Saccharomyces cerevisiae S288C: one gene and its partners. Changing the gene in region 1 together with any one later gene gives a genetic interaction. Each region holds a gene or a part of one and is shown in the gene's direction. Other genes may lie near its edges. The genes, in order: SKN7, ERG3, PTC1 and RAD51.

What was found.
Region 2: mutations in SKN7 (region 1) and ERG3 together harm fitness more than expected from each alone (negative genetic interaction), as found in Saccharomyces cerevisiae (4 studies listed by BioGRID).
Region 3: mutations in SKN7 (region 1) and PTC1 together harm fitness more than expected from each alone (negative genetic interaction), as found in Saccharomyces cerevisiae (6 studies listed by BioGRID, with this or other methods).
Region 4: mutations in SKN7 (region 1) and RAD51 together harm fitness more than expected from each alone (negative genetic interaction), as found in Saccharomyces cerevisiae (7 studies listed by BioGRID, with this or other methods).

What each region holds. Positions count from the first base shown.
Region 1 is NC_001140.6:511,211-516,771, forward strand, and holds SKN7 (kinase-regulated stress-responsive transcription factor SKN7), read left to right. Parts: upstream 1-1,521; coding exon 1,522-3,390; downstream 3,391-5,561. Other genes in the region: serine/threonine protein kinase SCH9, read left to right, coding at 1-627; SET5 (S-adenosylmethionine-dependent methyltransferase), read right to left, coding at 3,695-5,275. UniProt on the Saccharomyces cerevisiae protein: Transcription factor that is part of a SLN1-YPD1-SKN7 two-component regulatory system, which controls gene expression in response to changes in the osmolarity of the extracellular environment.
Region 2 is NC_001144.5:252,044-257,129, forward strand, and holds ERG3 (C-5 sterol desaturase), read left to right. Parts: upstream 1-1,817; coding exon 1,818-2,915; downstream 2,916-5,086. Other genes in the region: SAGA complex subunit SPT8, read right to left, coding at 1-1,037; putative mannosidase MNL2, read left to right, coding at 3,263-5,086. UniProt on the Saccharomyces cerevisiae protein: C-5 sterol desaturase; part of the third module of ergosterol biosynthesis pathway that includes the late steps of the pathway. ERG3 catalyzes the introduction of a C-5 double bond in the B ring to produce 5-dehydroepisterol.
Region 3 is NC_001136.10:436,518-441,254, forward strand, and holds PTC1 (type 2C protein phosphatase PTC1), read left to right. Parts: upstream 1-3,391; coding exon 3,392-4,237; downstream 4,238-4,737. Other genes in the region: YDL007C-A (uncharacterized protein), read right to left, coding at 50-307; proteasome regulatory particle base subunit RPT2, read left to right, coding at 1,530-2,843; MED2 (Med2p), read right to left, coding at 4,497-4,737. UniProt on the Saccharomyces cerevisiae protein: Serine and threonine phosphatase. Involved in tRNA splicing and cell separation.
Region 4 is NC_001137.3:347,785-352,782, forward strand, and holds RAD51 (recombinase RAD51), read left to right. Parts: upstream 1-2,195; coding exon 2,196-3,398; downstream 3,399-4,998. Other genes in the region: AIM11 (Aim11p), read right to left, coding at 128-417, 493-616; PUP3 (proteasome core particle subunit beta 3), read right to left, coding at 945-1,562; SHC1 (Shc1p), read left to right, coding at 3,914-4,998. UniProt on the Saccharomyces cerevisiae protein: Required both for recombination and for the repair of DNA damage caused by X-rays. Its function may be modulated by interaction with other repair proteins. RAD52 interacts directly with RAD51, via its C-terminus.

The sequences.
Region 1 (5,561 bases):
AATCAAAAAATGTACCAAAAAATTGCCTTTGGTAAAGTCAAATTCCCCAGAGACGTACTGTCACAAGAGGGGAGGTCTTTTGTAAAGGGTTTACTAAACAGAAACCCCAAACATAGACTCGGTGCCATTGATGATGGAAGAGAACTACGAGCTCATCCATTTTTCGCAGATATCGACTGGGAGGCCTTGAAGCAGAAAAAAATTCCACCACCTTTCAAACCTCACCTAGTCTCGGAGACGGATACCTCGAATTTTGACCCAGAGTTCACAACAGCTTCAACTTCATACATGAACAAGCACCAGCCGATGATGACTGCTACCCCGCTATCTCCAGCCATGCAAGCAAAGTTTGCTGGTTTCACCTTTGTTGATGAGTCCGCCATCGATGAACACGTTAATAACAACAGAAAATTCCTACAAAACTCGTACTTTATGGAACCTGGTTCCTTTATCCCGGGAAATCCAAACTTACCTCCAGACGAAGATGTCATCGATGATGACGGGGACGAGGACATCAATGATGGATTCAACCAAGAGAAAAATATGAACAACAGCCATTCGCAGATGGACTTCGACGGCGACCAACACATGGATGACGAATTTGTCAGTGGAAGATTCGAAATATGATTTCTCAATCGCTCCTCTTGCCCTTCCTCTTCTTTTCCTTTTCTTTTTATTTTTTTCTAATTTTTCTATCTTTTATTTCTACTTCTATTATTAATTTGTATCTTCTAATCGTTTTTCCCACTTTATCGAAACATTTCTTCTATTTATATATGTAAAGTATGTATGTATTTTCGTTTTATTTAAACTCCAAAAAATGAATAATTGTTCCTGCAAATTTCTAGTTTATCACGTCTCATAATCACTGCTTATACCTCACCATTCCATTGTACTTTGACATATTTACCCCTCATCTATATATAATCAGGGCTTAAGTAAACGCTTCGCTGTGATTTCCCAAAGTCGGTTCGGAAATTATAGGTCGGTTATATCATCCGAAAAAAAAAAAAAAAAAGTTTTTCTTAAATGCATAGGTTTAAAGTCGATTAAAAGTAGGGCTAACACAAGTATAAGCAGGGTTTTGCTATAATAGGGATGCCATAAGTGAGGGCAGGGCTCATCGATGCGCGTACATGGATTTTCCGAAATTCTGAATTTTTTCTTTCTTTAACTATGAGCAAAATGTGGTCAGCTTTACTGAGCTTAACTGTCATCCCATCGAATGTGACAAGATTGAAAGTGCTTCCAGGATCTGAAACATTTGTCAAAGTTTTACTAACATTACACAGATATCCCTGGTCACCTTACTATCTTCCAACATCTTACCTAGGCTTGCTGCTTTTGTTTGGGTCATATATTTAACTCGCTCATTAGAGGACATTCTGTTTTTTCCAAGACCAACAAAAAAGCAACGAAATTGCTGTATTATTAAAGGACTGTTATAGAAGTTTTTTTATCCTCTCTTTGTTTCCATTATTCTTATTCCTATTTTTTCGTTGCTTACTTTTGATATCCACTATGAGCTTTTCCACCATAAATAGCAACGTCAATAAAACCACCGGCGATAGCAATAATAACACCACCGAGAACAGTTCGACTGCAGACCTTTTAGGAATGGACTTGTTGCAGAGCGGGCCTCGACTGATGAACACGATGCAGCCAAACAACTCTTCTGACATGCTGCACATTAACAACAAGACTAATAACGTTCAACAACCAGCTGGAAACACAAATATCAGCAGTGCTAATGCGGGAGCAAAGGCTCCAGCAAATGAGTTCGTAAGAAAACTGTTCAGGATACTGGAAAACAATGAATATCCTGACATTGTAACTTGGACTGAGAACGGCAAAAGTTTCGTCGTTTTGGACACAGGAAAGTTCACTACGCATATATTGCCTAATCACTTCAAACATTCAAATTTTGCATCTTTTGTAAGGCAACTAAACAAGTATGACTTTCACAAGGTTAAGAGAAGTCCCGAGGAAAGACAGAGATGTAAATATGGCGAACAAAGTTGGGAGTTTCAGCATCCAGAATTTAGAGTCCATTACGGAAAAGGTCTCGATAACATCAAAAGGAAAATTCCGGCGCAAAGGAAAGTGCTTTTGGATGAATCTCAAAAGGCTCTTTTGCATTTCAATAGTGAAGGCACTAACCCCAACAATCCTTCTGGGTCTCTTTTGAATGAATCCACCACAGAGCTGTTGTTAAGCAATACCGTAAGTAAAGATGCATTTGGAAATCTAAGAAGGCGAGTAGACAAACTACAAAAGGAGTTGGATATGTCCAAAATGGAGAGTTATGCTACTAAAGTAGAACTACAAAAGTTGAACTCGAAATACAATACGGTTATCGAAAGTTTGATAACATTCAAGACCATAAATGAAAATTTACTCAACAACTTCAACACTCTGTGTTCCACTTTGGCAAATAATGGTATTGAAGTGCCAATATTTGGCGACAATGGAAACCGTAACCCAACTGGTAATACCAACCCAGCAACAACAACAGCTATCCAAAGCAACAACAACACCAACAATGCTTCTCCGGCAACATCTACAGTTTCCTTACAACTACCTAATTTACCCGATCAGAATAGCCTAACACCAAATGCTCAAAATAACACAGTCACGCTACGAAAAGGTTTCCATGTACTGTTGGTGGAAGATGACGCAGTGTCTATACAGTTGTGTTCAAAATTTTTACGGAAATATGGCTGTACTGTCCAAGTTGTCAGCGACGGTCTTTCAGCTATCTCAACACTAGAGAAGTATAGGTATGATTTGGTTTTAATGGACATTGTTATGCCAAACCTAGATGGTGCCACAGCGACATCCATTGTCAGAAGTTTTGATAATGAGACTCCCATCATTGCCATGACAGGTAACATTATGAATCAAGACTTGATCACATACTTACAACATGGAATGAATGATATCTTGGCCAAACCATTCACGAGGGATGATTTACACTCAATTTTAATACGTTATCTAAAGGACCGTATTCCTTTATGCGAACAGCAATTACCACCTCGCAACTCTTCGCCACAAACTCATTCCAACACCAATACTGCTAATTCGAATCCTAATACGATTAATGAACAGTCGTTAGCCATGTTACCACAAGATAATCCGTCAACTACTACCCCTGTTACCCCAGGTGCCTCTATATCTTCTGCACAGCATGTTCAACAAGGTCAACAAGAACAGCAGCATCAAATTTTCCATGCTCAGCAGCAGCAGCAGCATCACAACGCCATTGCTAATGCTAGGTCAGACGTAGCCATACCGAATTTGGAACATGAAATCAACACTGTACCACATTCCTCAATGGGTTCCACTCCGCAATTACCACAATCTACACTTCAAGAAAACCAGCTATCATAAAATTTTACAAATAGCCTTGCGTCTAAGTTAGCAGAGGACATTCTGTATTCCTGAGGAGTTTCTTTATATTTATTATGTGATCTTGGAGGATTATCATTTTCTTTTCGTTCAATATTTTATCCCCTTCAGTTATTTCCAGTTATCTACATCAAAATGTTTGAATTTTATTTCTTTCTGCCGCTCTCAAATTCACTCTCATTTCTTTTTTCTTTGTTTTTCTTATATTTACTATATATATATATATATATATATATATATAGCCAAAAACAATAACAGACACAGTAATTTAGTATGCGTTTATCTCTTATCTTTCATCCACTGCGACCGAAACGTTTGAATCGAATCTGACTGAGGTTTTTCTTACATTCCCTTGTGTATCAACAGTTTCTGGTATGTCTAATTCAAATTCTTTTCCATTCTTCAGTATTTCTTTTAAATCTGGCTGGGCCTCTCTCATGGAAGATTTACGATTACCAGTTGATTTCTTAGAGCCATCTTCACTACTATCATTGGAATCTATTTTTTCTACTCCTAAATTAGCATCCGCATTCTTTTTCTCTAGATTTGGAACTCTTTCAAATGTAGATAGTTCATTTTGACAGCGGTCACACTGGCATAAGAAGCCCCAGTTAACTCTTAATTCCCTACGCCTCAACCTCACCCCATGTAAGGGATTGACGTACGTAATACGTATTTGTTCCCCCTTCTTTATTGGTTTCCTTGCATGCAACCTCAGTTCCTCATGTTCTTCTACTTGCTCAATATAGGCGTTTGGTTCACAATCATGGTTTATGAAGGAGATCCAATGATATACCTGGCCGTTATATTGATTGATATTGAACGTCCCGATCATGGTCAAAAATTTCTCGAAATCTATTTCTTCAGAAGCTTTTGGAAATGCACCGCAAAATAATTCGTAGCACTTCTCCCAAACAGTCTCGTCATCAATATTCTTCTCAACGCCCTTTTTGGTACCATTATCAGATTCCTCTTCAGTATGTACAGTTGTACCATTCAGTAAACTAAACGTACTGCCGATACCGCTGGCGTCTCTTAATTTAATTCTTTCCCTTTGTGAGATGCTTGCCAATTTTTGCCATTGCTCTTTGACCTCTCCTGTAGTATCCAAAAGCATGGATCCATATATAAGACCAACTGAAAAGGCAGCGGTAAAACAATATTTCTCACAGTAGTTAACAAATCTTTTCCAATTACCAGCATGAAGAATGTCTATTCTATTCGATCTCCATGAGTGGTATAAAAGCTCATGTAACGACGCATGTGCTTTTTTACATTTTTCACTGCACCAAATAGCTTTGCAAACTTCACAATCCAAATAATGGACCATAATTTTGTGCTGGGTCAAATCATATAGCGCCTTACCACATCGAGCACATGCCTTTCCATTAGATATTAAAAAAAGCTTGTCCAGTGGTGGAATATATACGATAGGTTTATTTTCTTTCAGGATGATTTGGCCCTTGGAAAAATCTCTTTTAGCGAAAAGGCCCCTTCCATGTTCGTCATCAATAAATTTCACTTCGACCTTAGCATCAGAATCTAGGGCTTTTGGAAAATGTATTTTATCTTTATATAGAGAAACGGTCTCTAGATCTGTGTCATAAAGATGGTGCTCATTTAGAATTTTTCGAAAACGAGAAGCACTCAATTTCCACGATTGATTTCTTTCCGTAATCCTGTCATAAAGATGCTGAATCGTAGCGTCTTCAGTTCCGGGCTCTTCCTTCCATAACAAAACTACGTCATCACAGATCTCTTCCTCTGTGGGAGTTATCTTTCGAAAATCAGAGCCATTTTCTGTACCATTATGCACTGCAGATTGATCGCTATCGTTTAAGGTTCCTATTTTGATAGTCAATGTCATTTTTGTGCCACTTTTCGTTATTTTGTATCAGTGCACGCTTGGTTATTTACCTATTTAGCTTCTATTGTTATATGGAGAAGTTCCCCATGATTATGATATCAAGAAAGAAAAAGAAAAAGAAAAATAATACGAAAAAAAAAATTACGAAGCTAAAATAAAAAAAATTACGGCAAGGAAAGGGTTTACTGATAAAATTTGTTATCATTCTTGCTAGTCAGTAAGAGCATATCTGCTCAAGTAGACAAGGGAAACTATCGCAGGTGGTCCGGAAAGTACTTGACAATCA
Region 2 (5,086 bases), on another chromosome or scaffold:
TTAAACTCATTAACTATGTCACCCGTCTGCAAATCCCATTCCAAAAGACGCTTATCCCAGGAACCACTCAAAAACCTGTCCTCTTGACCGTTTAATCTCAGTATGTTAACGATTTGGGTATGTCCATTCCTGCCCTTAAAATAGTGCGCAATGCTCCCCTCCATGTAGCGAACGCCCTGCATGGTAATCCCACCATTCTGTAGCCCGCTCAGTATAAAGAGGCATTCGCTTTGGACTTCCAAAGAATGAACGGGGCTAACTTTGGGCTCGTAATCTGTCTTATTAGCGGAGAGTTTCATTTCTGATTTTTTCTGCGGGATCTCATTTTCCCAGTACGACTGCAAGATACCCGCGTTCTGAATAGACTCAGCCAACGAATGCTTCTGCAGGATAGTTAGAGAAAGTTTCCCCTCAAGCGTGTTCAGCAAGTCGTACTTCCTTATGTATCCATCGCTACCGCCCAAAAACAGGTACTTGAGACCCCTGGACACGGCCAACGCATTGACGTGCGTCTGGATGGGTATGGCTGCCGTGGGGTAGATATTGTACGAATCCGCAATCTGTGCGGCATTCAACATGTGCTTATAGTACTCATAAACCTCTCCATTAGCAGAGGCTTCGTGTGTAGAGGAAGATGCTTCCCTGGACCCCACTCCTCCATCAACATCGCTCAATTTCACATCCTCGGATCCAATCTTAGTAACAGCATCGCCACTATCGCCTGCACCGCCAGCACCAGCAGCAGCAGCCTTTTGCTCATCATGCTGGTGCTCATTCGTCGGTGTAGCAGTCTTATCCATTCTTGCGGCGTCGTCCTCACCATCGTCGTCCTCCTGTTCATCGTCGTCCTCTCGTTCGTCCTCGTCATCATCATCGTCCTCATCATCATCATCGTCATCCTCTTCATCTTCACCACCGTCATCATTCCCCTCGAGGTCCTGCTTTGAGTCGTTTTCCAGCCCACTCAGCATCTCTTCGTCATCCTCCTCGTCATCCACCACCTGGTTGTTAATTAGAATATCGTCAACCTCGTCCATTACGTAAAAGAAGAAAAAAAAAAAAACTGAGCCTTTAGTACACTACAGTTACTGCTACAGCCTTTTACAGCCCAGCATCTGGCACCACTACGCTATAATATATGATGCGTCTATTATGCTAGAATCCTTCCTGAAAGGGCATTCTGGAAGCCCTACGTACAGAGTGACAATATATTAGGGCATCCATAAAAATAGATTAGGGCAGCTCTGCCATTTTTTTCATAGCCGAAAGAAGAAAAACTGAAAAAAAAAATGATACGAAAAAACCGCGAAACGACGCCTTTTGTTGCGATTGTCGGGCATCGCAAGTTACGACGCGTTGTCCCTTGCATCGCTGCCGTGTGGCACGACCCACTGCGGCCTAAACGACCGAGATCGGTGCCCGGGGCAGACCACCCGAAAACTCCCGGGCATTATTTCGGTCGTTTAGTTGCGCCCCAGGGCAACCGGGGTGTATACGAGGCCGATGGCTGCGATAAACGAAAAATTCAGGCTCGTATAAGTGGCACAATAGAAGGTGAAGAAGAACAGCAGGTGCATTGAAACAAGAGGTTCAGCAGCGATCGGGTATTGTTGTTGCTGCTATTATGTAACGGTCGAAAGAAACATCGCGGTATATATTAGAGGCGGATTTCTATCTTTCTTATCAATTCGTTTTTTCATTCACTTGTTCATTCATTCTTTACATTTGTCTTGTTCTTTGAAGTGGTTGCAGAGGAGGTCAGTTTGTTGCATTTGTAAAAAAAGATAATAAGAAAAATATTCGTCTAGATTTGAGATATGGATTTGGTCTTAGAAGTCGCTGACCATTATGTCTTAGACGACTTGTACGCTAAAGTTCTGCCCGCTTCGTTGGCAGCTAATATTCCTGTCAAGTGGCAGAAATTGCTAGGGTTGAACAGTGGGTTCAGCAATTCTACGATTTTGCAGGAGACTTTGAACTCCAAGAATGCCGTCAAAGAATGTAGAAGGTTCTACGGGCAGGTGCCATTCCTGTTTGATATGTCGACGACGTCTTTTGCATCGCTATTGCCTCGTTCCAGCATCTTGAGAGAATTCCTCTCACTATGGGTTATTGTTACGATCTTTGGTTTACTACTTTACTTATTCACGGCTAGTCTCAGCTACGTGTTTGTGTTTGACAAGTCGATTTTCAACCATCCTCGTTACTTGAAAAACCAAATGGCAATGGAAATCAAGTTGGCAGTCAGTGCTATCCCATGGATGTCGATGTTGACCGTTCCATGGTTTGTTATGGAATTGAACGGCCATTCTAAACTATACATGAAGATTGATTATGAAAACCACGGTGTAAGGAAGCTCATTATCGAGTACTTCACTTTCATCTTTTTCACTGATTGCGGTGTGTATTTAGCGCACAGATGGTTGCATTGGCCAAGGGTCTACCGTGCTCTGCACAAGCCTCATCACAAGTGGCTGGTCTGCACACCTTTCGCATCTCATTCTTTCCATCCTGTAGACGGGTTTTTGCAATCCATCTCGTACCACATCTACCCATTGATTCTGCCATTACACAAGGTTTCTTATTTGATTCTGTTCACTTTTGTTAACTTTTGGACTGTTATGATTCATGACGGTCAATACCTATCAAACAATCCTGCCGTCAACGGTACTGCCTGCCACACGGTTCACCATCTATATTTCAACTACAACTACGGTCAATTCACCACTCTGTGGGACAGACTAGGGGGTTCTTACCGTAGACCAGATGACTCATTGTTTGATCCTAAGTTAAGAGATGCTAAGGAGACCTGGGACGCTCAAGTTAAGGAAGTTGAACATTTCATCAAGGAGGTCGAAGGTGATGATAATGATAGAATCTATGAAAACGACCCAAATACCAAGAAGAACAACTGAATACGGTTGCCTTGTTTGTCTCATCTTTTTTCTTTCTTTCACGTTCAAGAACTTTCACACAACGAATAACGTTTATATATTTATATACACATACATGTTTTAAGATACGCATATCATTATGATGTACACCTCACGTTAGTGCAATATGCGCTATTCGTATATTAAATTTTTGCGTTCATTTAATGGCTCTTTTTCCTATTCTAGTGAAAAAAAAAACAGAAAATCGAAGAGCTGGAAAATTTAAGAACAGGCAAATAGGAAGCTGGAAGCTTTAAAATGCCCAAGATTTCGGTGAAGCGCAAGTGTTAACTAGAAAAAGGCCGCCACTACTCTATAAGCAAAACCTTATGTCCATAGCGCGATTAGTATACTCTCTTTTCAGAAGAGTACGATCGGTTCTCTTACTTTTCATTACCATATCGCTATTGTTTTACTATACGTTCCAGAATGAAATCGATATCTTGAATTCGTACGCTTTAAACGACTCACTACCGTCCATAAACAACTATGAGCACAATACAGAAGGTTCTTCGAAACTGGATCCTCCAGACCTATCGTCAACCGGTTCTGACCGAATAGCCACCGACAAGGAAAATGGCAACGTTGCAGTGGATTTGTCAGATCCAGCTACATTGAGAGAAAAAAACAAGTACTTTCCCTTGCTGTTAAAGGGATCGTCTCACCAGATTGGTTCGAATTTACCAATTTCGTCTCTTTTGACATATAAGGAAAAGTATCCCGTCTTGTTCGAATACTCATCACCTTCCTTAACTTCTATAAGCCAGAATGACGTTCATAAGATACAGCCGGCAATGCAATTGCCACCAGATGTTGATATGATAAAACAGATAAAGGACATTTTCATGAAATCATGGAACCAAGAGCAGTTGCTGCTGAAAAGTAACCTCAGAAGGGAATCTACTTGGCCCATAGATCTAATTGATTCTCTAGATACATTGTATCTATGTGGCGAGACGAAACTTTTTCAAGATTCTGTTAATATAATAGAAGATTTTGACTTTCGAGTACCTCCGTTAGCAATGGAAGTTATTGATATTCCTGACATCACTACCCGTGTCCTAGAAGGGTTACTGTCTGCATACGAATTATCTATGGATAAACGATTACTTAACAAAGCAAAACATGTTGCAGATTTCATATTAAGATCATTTGATACCCCTAATAGAATTCCTATTTTGAAATATTTTTGGAAATCTGATCTGAGAAATCGATTTCCAGACCGTACTGTTCCATCAGGTCAATTGACTACTATGGCACTCGCGTTTATCAGATTGTCACAGTTAACCCGTTTGAATAAGTATTTTGATGCTGTTGAAAGAGTTTTCACCACTATACGTCAATCATATAACGAATTTGATATGGAGTTTATGCTGCCTGACGTCGTTGATGCCTCTGGTTGCCAGTTATTAACTCAAGAGGAAATTGAGAATGGTGCACACCTAAAGGGATCCAGCATCATGAAAAGTATCAATGAAAATTTCAAGTTCGTACACTGTCAGCAGTTAGGGAAATTCTTAAATCCTCCAATAGATGATAATAGCCTCCAAGAACAATCTCAATACCAGGCTTATAGAATTAATGAAAAAACAGTACCCATTCTAGAAAATCTATTCAAAATCAATGACCTCTTCCAATCTTCTTATGATATCCTGGACGGCTCAAGTAAAAATGCTAATGCTGCAACGATGGACCCCAGTATTGGTTCAGAGGTAGAAGCAGTCGACGAAATAATTGAGAAAAGAAACTTTAAAGACGGTACTAAAAAAGATTCGACAAAAAACACCGTAGGTGATAAATCATTAATAGACTCGCAAACGTTTTTAACAAATTCCATCAGTAACATTTTTAAATTCATGACTTTTCGACCCATGTTGCCCAAGCAAACGGAAAACAAAAAGTTTAATTTTCTGAATTCCATTCTAACAAAATCTCAATTCATGCCCACGACTAATGAGCTAGATGTCACGATAAGAAAATCTTACGATGTCTCGTTATACTCATGCAGACTTGGCGGCATTCTAGGTTTAAGTTCACGTGTTCCCCACCGAGGCGGTGTCAACACGAAATATATTTTACCATCGTCACTATTGGAAATGAGCGAAATAATAACAGAAAGTTGTTTTATGCTAATGGAGGAGTTCGACGGGCTG
Region 3 (4,737 bases), on another chromosome or scaffold:
AGTATCGCAGTATTTATTTTGTATACCCTTAGAATACACATACTTGGTGTTAGAAGCCATCTAATACACTATATAACTCGGGGATTAAATCATCTTGGAAGAGCGAATCTAGTTCAGGATCGCCTGTCGTAAAGTTCGAGGATAAGGACATCGAATTTAGTAGTAGTCCTAATGACTCGATGTTATTGTCTAAAATTTGTTCAATTTCTTTTCCTGATTTATCATCGTCTTCTTGAATAGGTAAACAGTAATATTTACCAAAGTTCAGGAGGGTTAGGATGGTGTGAAAAATTATAGGAAGGAACATCAAGAAAGTGCTTGAAATATTTTTCTTGGATTATGGAAGTATCAAGAACGATATTATTTCAATAATGTGATGGTTTATATCTTTGCATACAATAGATTTTGTGATACTTTTTTTATGTAATGGTCCCGTAACCCCGTCGCTCTTTCCCTTTTAATTTTGCCCGATCCACTTTCTATGCCGGTAGTTTAGCCGCCAAGTGCTATTTTCAAACGAATCAATAGTAGCGGCTGCAACTTTGAAAAAGAAAGAAACAAAATTATGCGCTAGTTTTCCATTTCTTGTATTCTTTTTTCTTTTGCGGTGGTAATTACGGGAATTTAGTGATGTTGGAACGAGAGTAATTAATAGTGACATGAGTTGCTATGGTAACAATCTAATGCTTACACCGTATATTAATGTACACCTCGTATACGTTTAAGTGTGATTGCACCTATTGCAGAAGGAATGTTAAACGAGAAGCTCAGACAATACTGAAGCTGTGCTAAAGATCTATTAATTGAACATGATATGGTAGGTACATATATGAGGAATATGAGTCGTCACATCAATGTATAGTAACTACCGGAATCACTATTATATTGGTCATGATTAATATGACCAATCGGCGTGTGTTTTATATACCTCTCTTATTTAGTATAAGAAGATCAATACTTATTTCTTCATTAATACTATTTTTTACCTCTAACTATCAACAAGTGATAATTGTTGGAATTCCATTGTTAATAAAGGCAATAATATTATGTATACAGAATACAGCTTCCTCTAACTTCTATGACAGTTTCTCATACCTTATGTCATCATCTAACATTGTACATTATAATATACTCGTAGTAAGACTACTAGTTGAGAGAGAATAGTTGATTTTTATTCTAACAAATAATATTCCAGCAGGTTTACATATTCCTAGGTTTGGGATATATCTTAAGTCAATAATTCATCATTAGTAAGGCAACTTGGCCGAGTGGTTAAGGCGAAAGATTAGAAATCTTTTGGGCTTTGCCCGCGCAGGTTCGAGTCCTGCAGTTGTCGTCATTTTTATATTCCCAATATTTTTATCACTCCGGGTAACGAGTTATTAACGGTTTTTCTCCGGTGGCAAATGTCTCTTTTCTTTTACCTAAAAGAAGGTTAATGTGAATATTAGTGAATATGATGCGTATCAGTGTCAAGCTTACAGTCAATTCAAGTTAAAGAAGAGACAGCGTTTTTAATAGAAAATAAAATGGGACAAGGTGTATCATCTGGACAAGACAAAAAGAAGAAGAAGGGATCTAATCAGAAACCCAAATATGAACCTCCCGTTCAATCTAAATTTGGTCGTAAGAAAAGAAAGGGAGGTCCAGCTACTGCTGAAAAATTACCCAACATATATCCAAGTACTCGTTGTAAGTTAAAGCTTCTAAGGATGGAACGAATTAAAGACCATTTGTTATTAGAAGAAGAATTTGTCTCTAACTCTGAAATTTTAAAACCCTTTGAAAAGAAGCAGGAGGAGGAAAAGAAACAATTGGAAGAAATACGTGGAAATCCATTGAGCATTGGGACCCTTGAAGAAATTATAGACGATGATCATGCGATAGTGACAAGTCCAACTATGCCTGATTATTATGTATCTATCTTATCCTTTGTCGATAAAGAGTTACTAGAGCCTGGATGTTCTGTGTTATTGCATCATAAAACCATGTCCATCGTAGGTGTTTTACAGGATGACGCCGATCCAATGGTTTCGGTCATGAAAATGGATAAGTCGCCAACAGAATCATACAGTGATATTGGTGGCTTAGAATCTCAAATTCAAGAAATAAAAGAGTCTGTAGAGTTACCGTTAACACACCCCGAACTGTATGAAGAGATGGGTATCAAACCTCCCAAGGGTGTGATTCTTTATGGTGCACCCGGTACAGGTAAGACATTGCTAGCAAAGGCTGTTGCAAATCAAACATCTGCCACATTCTTAAGGATTGTTGGCTCAGAGTTAATTCAAAAATATTTGGGGGATGGTCCTAGGTTGTGTAGGCAAATTTTCAAAGTAGCGGGTGAGAATGCACCAAGTATTGTATTTATTGATGAAATAGACGCCATTGGTACTAAAAGATATGACTCCAATAGTGGTGGTGAGAGAGAAATTCAGAGAACCATGCTGGAATTGCTGAACCAGCTGGACGGGTTCGACGACAGAGGGGATGTGAAGGTGATTATGGCCACTAACAAAATCGAGACTCTTGACCCAGCATTAATCAGGCCTGGGAGAATTGATCGTAAAATCTTATTTGAAAACCCTGATCTAAGTACTAAGAAAAAAATTTTAGGGATTCACACTTCCAAGATGAATTTAAGTGAGGACGTTAATCTTGAAACTTTAGTAACAACAAAGGATGATTTGTCAGGCGCCGATATCCAGGCAATGTGTACAGAAGCAGGTTTGTTAGCCCTTAGAGAGAGAAGAATGCAAGTTACAGCGGAGGATTTTAAACAAGCCAAGGAGAGAGTCATGAAAAATAAAGTTGAGGAAAATTTAGAAGGTTTATACTTGTGATGTGCCCATTTACATTTTTCTATAATAGATTTACGTATATAAGTAATGCTTCAACAAAGCTTAATATGTGTACATTTTGTATCACGTGCAATATTTGTTTCAAAAACTTAATATAGGTAGGGCGTCGGGGCCTTCGCGAATTCTAACTGCAAAGGAAAACTGGTGAACACATCTGAGAGGGTTTGTTGTCCTAATTTTATAGGAAACTAAAACTCAAAAGACAAAGTATACCTTTGCAAATTGAAAGCTTAGTTAAACATTATTATTCGTGTGTTTGAGGTCACTTTTTTTCGTCTTAAACAGCTCTCAAAGTTGTCTCAAAATTTTTATCCGGATTCCTTTACATTAACAGACCCCAAACACAACAAGTTTTGATAGTTTAAGTAAGTGAACGCTTATTTTTGTTGTCGTTGAAAAGAAAATAAATAGGCAGTATTATCAATTAGGAGGTGAGTTAAATTCCATTCTATACCGAGTATACGAGATTTTGCACATTCTTACTTCATATATCATTTAGGCACTGCATTTATCTTTTAAAAATCATTATAATGAGTAATCATTCTGAAATCTTAGAAAGGCCAGAAACACCATATGACATAACTTATAGAGTAGGTGTGGCGGAAAATAAAAACTCGAAATTTCGGAGGACAATGGAAGATGTTCATACGTATGTTAAAAACTTTGCTTCAAGATTAGATTGGGGATATTTCGCGGTGTTTGATGGACATGCTGGGATTCAGGCCTCCAAATGGTGTGGTAAACATCTTCATACAATTATAGAGCAAAACATTTTGGCAGATGAAACACGAGATGTTAGAGATGTATTGAACGATTCATTCCTAGCCATTGACGAAGAAATTAATACAAAACTTGTAGGAAATAGTGGATGTACTGCTGCTGTTTGCGTATTACGTTGGGAGCTTCCGGATTCAGTTTCTGATGATTCAATGGATTTAGCCCAACACCAAAGAAAGTTATATACAGCAAATGTTGGTGATTCTCGAATAGTATTGTTTAGAAACGGGAACAGCATAAGACTGACTTATGATCATAAGGCATCTGACACTTTGGAGATGCAGAGAGTTGAACAAGCAGGTGGCCTGATAATGAAAAGTCGTGTAAATGGTATGCTGGCAGTGACGAGATCGTTAGGGGATAAATTTTTTGATAGTTTAGTAGTGGGCAGCCCATTTACCACGAGCGTAGAAATAACTTCTGAGGACAAATTTTTAATCCTAGCGTGTGATGGATTATGGGATGTTATTGATGATCAAGATGCATGCGAATTAATCAAGGATATTACTGAACCTAATGAAGCTGCAAAAGTCTTGGTTAGATATGCTTTGGAAAATGGCACAACAGATAATGTAACGGTCATGGTTGTCTTCCTCTAAGAAGGATCCGTTATAAACCGCGCAAAAATTATGCATAGACATAGAGATATGCAATGTGTATGTGTGTATGTATGTATATGTATAAACGTACCAAATCTATTTTGCATGCATCTCTCACATGACGAATGAGGTTTTAGTAGAATAGGATTCCAGATTTTTAAACTGGAGAACATATTCTATCATATATATACCAATTAAATTCACGTAGCGAATGCACAACACGGTTTACAAGTCAATAGTTAACAATAGGAAGACCAAGCTATATATTGAAGCCGCTGAGGTCTAATTCGCCATTATCTCCAGTGGTCGACCAGTCAATATTAAGGTCGTTGAAATCATTTAATGTCAAGTATTCTTCACCGTTGTCGGCTGGAGGAGGGTTATCTCCAGGATTGGAAACAACGGTCGTTGGTAAATCATTATTAACTATATTTTCATTATCATTTCCGGTAGTGATAGAATTGTTCTTGTTATTGCTGTCGTTGTTGGTGGTATTGTTA
Region 4 (4,998 bases), on another chromosome or scaffold:
AAAGATTACAATATGTATAATTAAAAGAAGAAAGAATGTATACGGATATACGATATGTGACCAGCCGGCAACGGCTCGTAGTTATACCATTATTTACAGTTTAAAGAGATTAAGCCAATGCGTAGTGCTACTTGTTGTTTTCGCTCGACAGGAGGTCTTGCAATTGCTTAGTTAGTTTGGAAGTTTCTTCGTCCATGCTCGTGTCGGTTTCTAAGGCTTGTGGAAGGCTCATGAACTCTCTAGTCTTAAATACAAACTCTCTTGCCGTTGAAATGTCAAGTGCCCAACAAAAGCCGAATATCAATGTGCTGAACGTACCTATTGAAGCGGCGGATGCATACGTTAACGCTGACATGGCTTCATTCCTTTGGGAAAAAGGTGGAAGCTTGTAATTTTGTTGAAATATGCTGGGGACGTCTGCTTTCAGTAGACGGTGTTAGTAACTATATCCTATTATTAGTTTTGGCCACTGAACTAGGACAAAATACATACATTTTCGTACTTTTATGGCCCTGGAGATAAGCCTCATGGTAATCAGGGTGAAGGCGGCCGCACCATAAAATCTGGCCATTTGAAGAACCCTGCGTTTCTTAAGTTCCTTCTTCTCTTCGATCATAGTTTCGTTTCTTGATGAAGTAGGATAGTCGTACTAATTGCTGACAAACCCGTCAAAGAATCAAGTTCCCCATCCTAATAAGTATTAAAAGCGCCAATTTTTCAAGAGACTCGCGGCTGGTGAATAACGCTGCTCCTTAGAAAAGGACAGCCAGCGGATAGCTACTCAGATCTTCGACTGACTTTATGCATTTTAGTATTTATATATTCATTCGATCTATTCTGTTTACTTAAAAATTAAAGATGAGTTGGATGTGGAAAATTCTTGACGTTCCGCTGATATTTTGTGTTGGGGTTGTTTTTGGGACCATGAGATTGCCATGAACCGATCAATCTTGTCTCATCTTCAAGTATCTCTTCACCACTTCATCCTTCTTGATGATGTATACTACAGCTCCCCAGCCTGATAGAGCGTCACGGTCAGCAGCATTCAGTAGGGCCTGACTTATAGTTTCGAAAAGATCTTCTGGCTCTAGATTAGGTTCGTACAGGGACTCACACATACCGAACAGTTGGTCGGATGCAGTACCGCTAACGATAAAATCCTTGGCCTCGTCGATACAGCCGATTAGGTCGAATCCCGCAATAAAGGGCTTCCCGGACTTGGAATTAATACCTGCTACCACCGGCCCCACAAAGTATGGACCGAATCTTCTTTCATAAAGTGAACTTGACACTAATTGGGTAAACGTTTCAGGCTCAATGGCCCTTTCTTCCTTCAACTTATATAGGTTCGTCTTGTAGCGGAACATCTCGTTCAGAGTAGTCACGTCGGTAGCCAGACCGGTAATCCCTAAGAACACATGCCCATAGTGGAAGATTTTTTCAAACTTGTTCGACACACCTAGTGACTGGCTTCCGAGACGCAAATCACAGGCAATGGCCACACAGTCTTTACCTGTCATCGCAACGACGATACCACCGTTAATAGAACTTGGATCCGACATTTTTTTTTTATGCTTTATTCACTGTTCAATATTTTCACCACAATTCGCAAGAAACGCACTCTACTTCGAAACTACGGTTCAAACTTACTTAGCAGCTTCCCGATTTAATTGGCCTTTCTACTATGCCATAAACTCTTTCTTCCTCTCTTTTCATCGCCCCTGCATTTGCACTTTTTTGCCACCGGCAGTGCCATCCGGTCACATGACTACACCACGTTAATAGCGATCTGGCTTATCATTGTCACAGAGTAAATTAAAATGGACGGTAAATGTTGGAAATGCACCACTACCGTTCTTCAACCAATCTAGTTTAGCTATCCTGCAACAGGTGGCCTTCTTGAGCATTCCCTGAGCATTCCAACCGGTTGTATCAGTGTTTTATCACCGTCTCACCATATCCCACGACTAGGCCACACTTCGTTACCCTATGCTACGCGTCATTTCCGCTATTTCTGTCCTGGTTTGTTTACAGTACGCGTGGTGGGACCATAAAGGGGAATAGTGGGGACTGGAGAAAAAATTTTCTCAGTTACTTCTTCTATCTTCCGTAGTTTCCATATACTAGTAGTTGAGTGTAGCGACAAAGAGCAGACGTAGTTATTTGTTAAAGGCCTACTAATTTGTTATCGTCATATGTCTCAAGTTCAAGAACAACATATATCAGAGTCACAGCTTCAGTACGGGAACGGTTCGTTGATGTCCACTGTACCAGCAGACCTTTCACAGTCAGTCGTTGATGGAAACGGCAACGGTAGCAGCGAAGATATTGAGGCCACCAACGGCTCCGGCGATGGTGGCGGATTGCAGGAGCAAGCGGAAGCGCAAGGTGAAATGGAGGATGAAGCATACGATGAAGCTGCCTTAGGTTCGTTTGTGCCAATAGAAAAACTGCAAGTGAACGGGATTACTATGGCGGATGTGAAAAAACTAAGGGAGAGTGGGCTTCACACTGCTGAAGCGGTAGCATATGCTCCCAGAAAGGATTTATTGGAAATCAAAGGTATATCGGAAGCTAAGGCAGATAAGTTGCTAAACGAAGCGGCAAGGCTAGTGCCTATGGGATTTGTCACGGCTGCTGATTTTCATATGAGAAGATCGGAGCTGATTTGTTTGACAACGGGTTCTAAGAATTTGGACACTCTTTTGGGTGGTGGTGTGGAAACTGGTTCTATTACTGAGCTTTTCGGTGAATTCAGGACAGGTAAGTCCCAGCTATGTCACACTTTGGCCGTGACATGCCAAATTCCATTGGATATTGGTGGCGGTGAAGGTAAGTGTTTGTATATCGATACCGAAGGTACTTTCAGGCCGGTAAGATTGGTATCCATAGCTCAGCGGTTCGGATTAGACCCGGATGATGCTTTGAACAACGTTGCGTATGCAAGAGCCTATAACGCCGATCATCAGTTAAGACTTCTGGATGCTGCTGCCCAAATGATGAGCGAGTCTCGGTTTTCCTTGATTGTGGTCGATTCTGTTATGGCTCTATACCGTACGGATTTTTCTGGTCGTGGTGAACTAAGCGCAAGGCAAATGCATTTAGCCAAATTTATGCGTGCTTTGCAAAGGCTGGCCGACCAATTTGGTGTTGCAGTCGTCGTTACTAACCAAGTGGTCGCCCAAGTTGATGGTGGTATGGCTTTTAATCCAGATCCAAAGAAGCCTATCGGTGGTAATATTATGGCACATTCTTCCACCACGCGATTAGGTTTCAAAAAGGGTAAGGGATGTCAAAGATTATGCAAAGTTGTTGACTCACCTTGCTTACCAGAGGCTGAATGTGTGTTCGCGATCTATGAAGATGGTGTTGGTGACCCCAGAGAAGAAGACGAGTAGGTATTTGGTCTCTTGTCTCTATTTATTTACACAGGTTTACTTTCAATTCTCCTCTTTTTCTTAGGTTGCGTTCCGTACATTTTTATCTTCATTTCCATCCACTGTCTTAGATTTTTGCATATATTTTGTCATATACCTCGCAACCCTACTGCGGTCTTAACCTTTTTTTTCAGTTCTTTTAAATAACTTTCGTATTGTCTGTCACCCATGAAATATATGTATTTTTCTACTCTTCTTCCCGATGACTACTTCCTCCTGCAGGGTCCGCGCGGCTTTATCCTTTTAGGGGAGTGAAGAGAAAAATTTTCTGATATGTCGCCATCCTCTTATAAAACCAACGTAAAATACCATACACTTCTTTATGGCAATGAATTTCCTTGTCTTCGTTTCGACGTTTTTAAATTGAATAAAAAATTGTACTTGGAAAAAAGAATAGAACAATACTTTTGCTAACAGCAAGAGAAGTACGGTTGACATTACGAGTATCCCTTTGTTAAAATCAGGCAGTACCCATAATGTCCATGACTATTTGCTCAAATACTCCTGGTGCATACCCTGAAATTGGAGCTTATAATGAGGTTGATAAACAGTTGGAATCAAGCGGATTCTCCTCTGATTCCTCTCTGATATTGAATAAACCAGAAGTTCGTCAATACTGGTCATCCGTTTCATCTCATATTTCACGCTCAGGTGATGTGTTTACAAATGATAAAGAAAAAATTTCATCCTCTATTGGTGAGGATGCGATGGATATCGACGCTTCGCCCTCATTGATTGAAAAATATAACTCTTTTCCCACAAGAAAGATTCTTCCTGAGCAGGACGAGTTTGAGAACGACGTTGAGGACGATGCTTCTTCCTCACTGAAGGAAAAATCACAAGGTTCTTGTGAAATTGAAATTGCTTCTGAAATTTCATCCGAAATTTTAAATGGCACATCGGCAGACGGTAATTCCGAGTTTCACGACTTCGCTGAGCCCCCTCCCTCTCAGAATGAATCTGTCGCTCTGTCTTTTAGTCAATCGAATGATTTGGACTTTTTGAATAATCCAAGCGGATCAGGCTCTTCAAACGATATCAATAGAAGTACAAGTTCCATTTCACTTCCTAGACATGTGTCACTAGATTTTAACGTTTACAATAGTCTTTGCCTCACAAATGAGGTGACTGCATCAGAATCACATAATGTGGCCAAATTTCACCTTGGCAAGAAAAACAAGAAGAGCTTGCTACCAAGATGGAAAACCATTGAAATGTACGGGGAGGTAGTTAAGAAAACTCAAGACATATATTCTAATTTTCAGTATGCACAATACATTTTAAGGGTAGGGTTGGATACCGAAAAACTACACGAACTTGTTAAGGAACTGGAGGATGAAAGCAATAGCTTCTCTGTAGATTCTTTAAAGGAATATTTAGTGAACGATGCCAAAGTTATTTTGAAGAAACTAAGTGCCGTTGGATACCCTGATGCACAGTACCTTCTAGGTGACGCCTACTCCTCTGGAGTTTTCGGTAAAATAAAGAATAGAAGAGCATTTCTTTTATTCTCCGCTGCAGCCAAAAGAATGCACATCGAAAGTGTTTACAGAACTGCCAT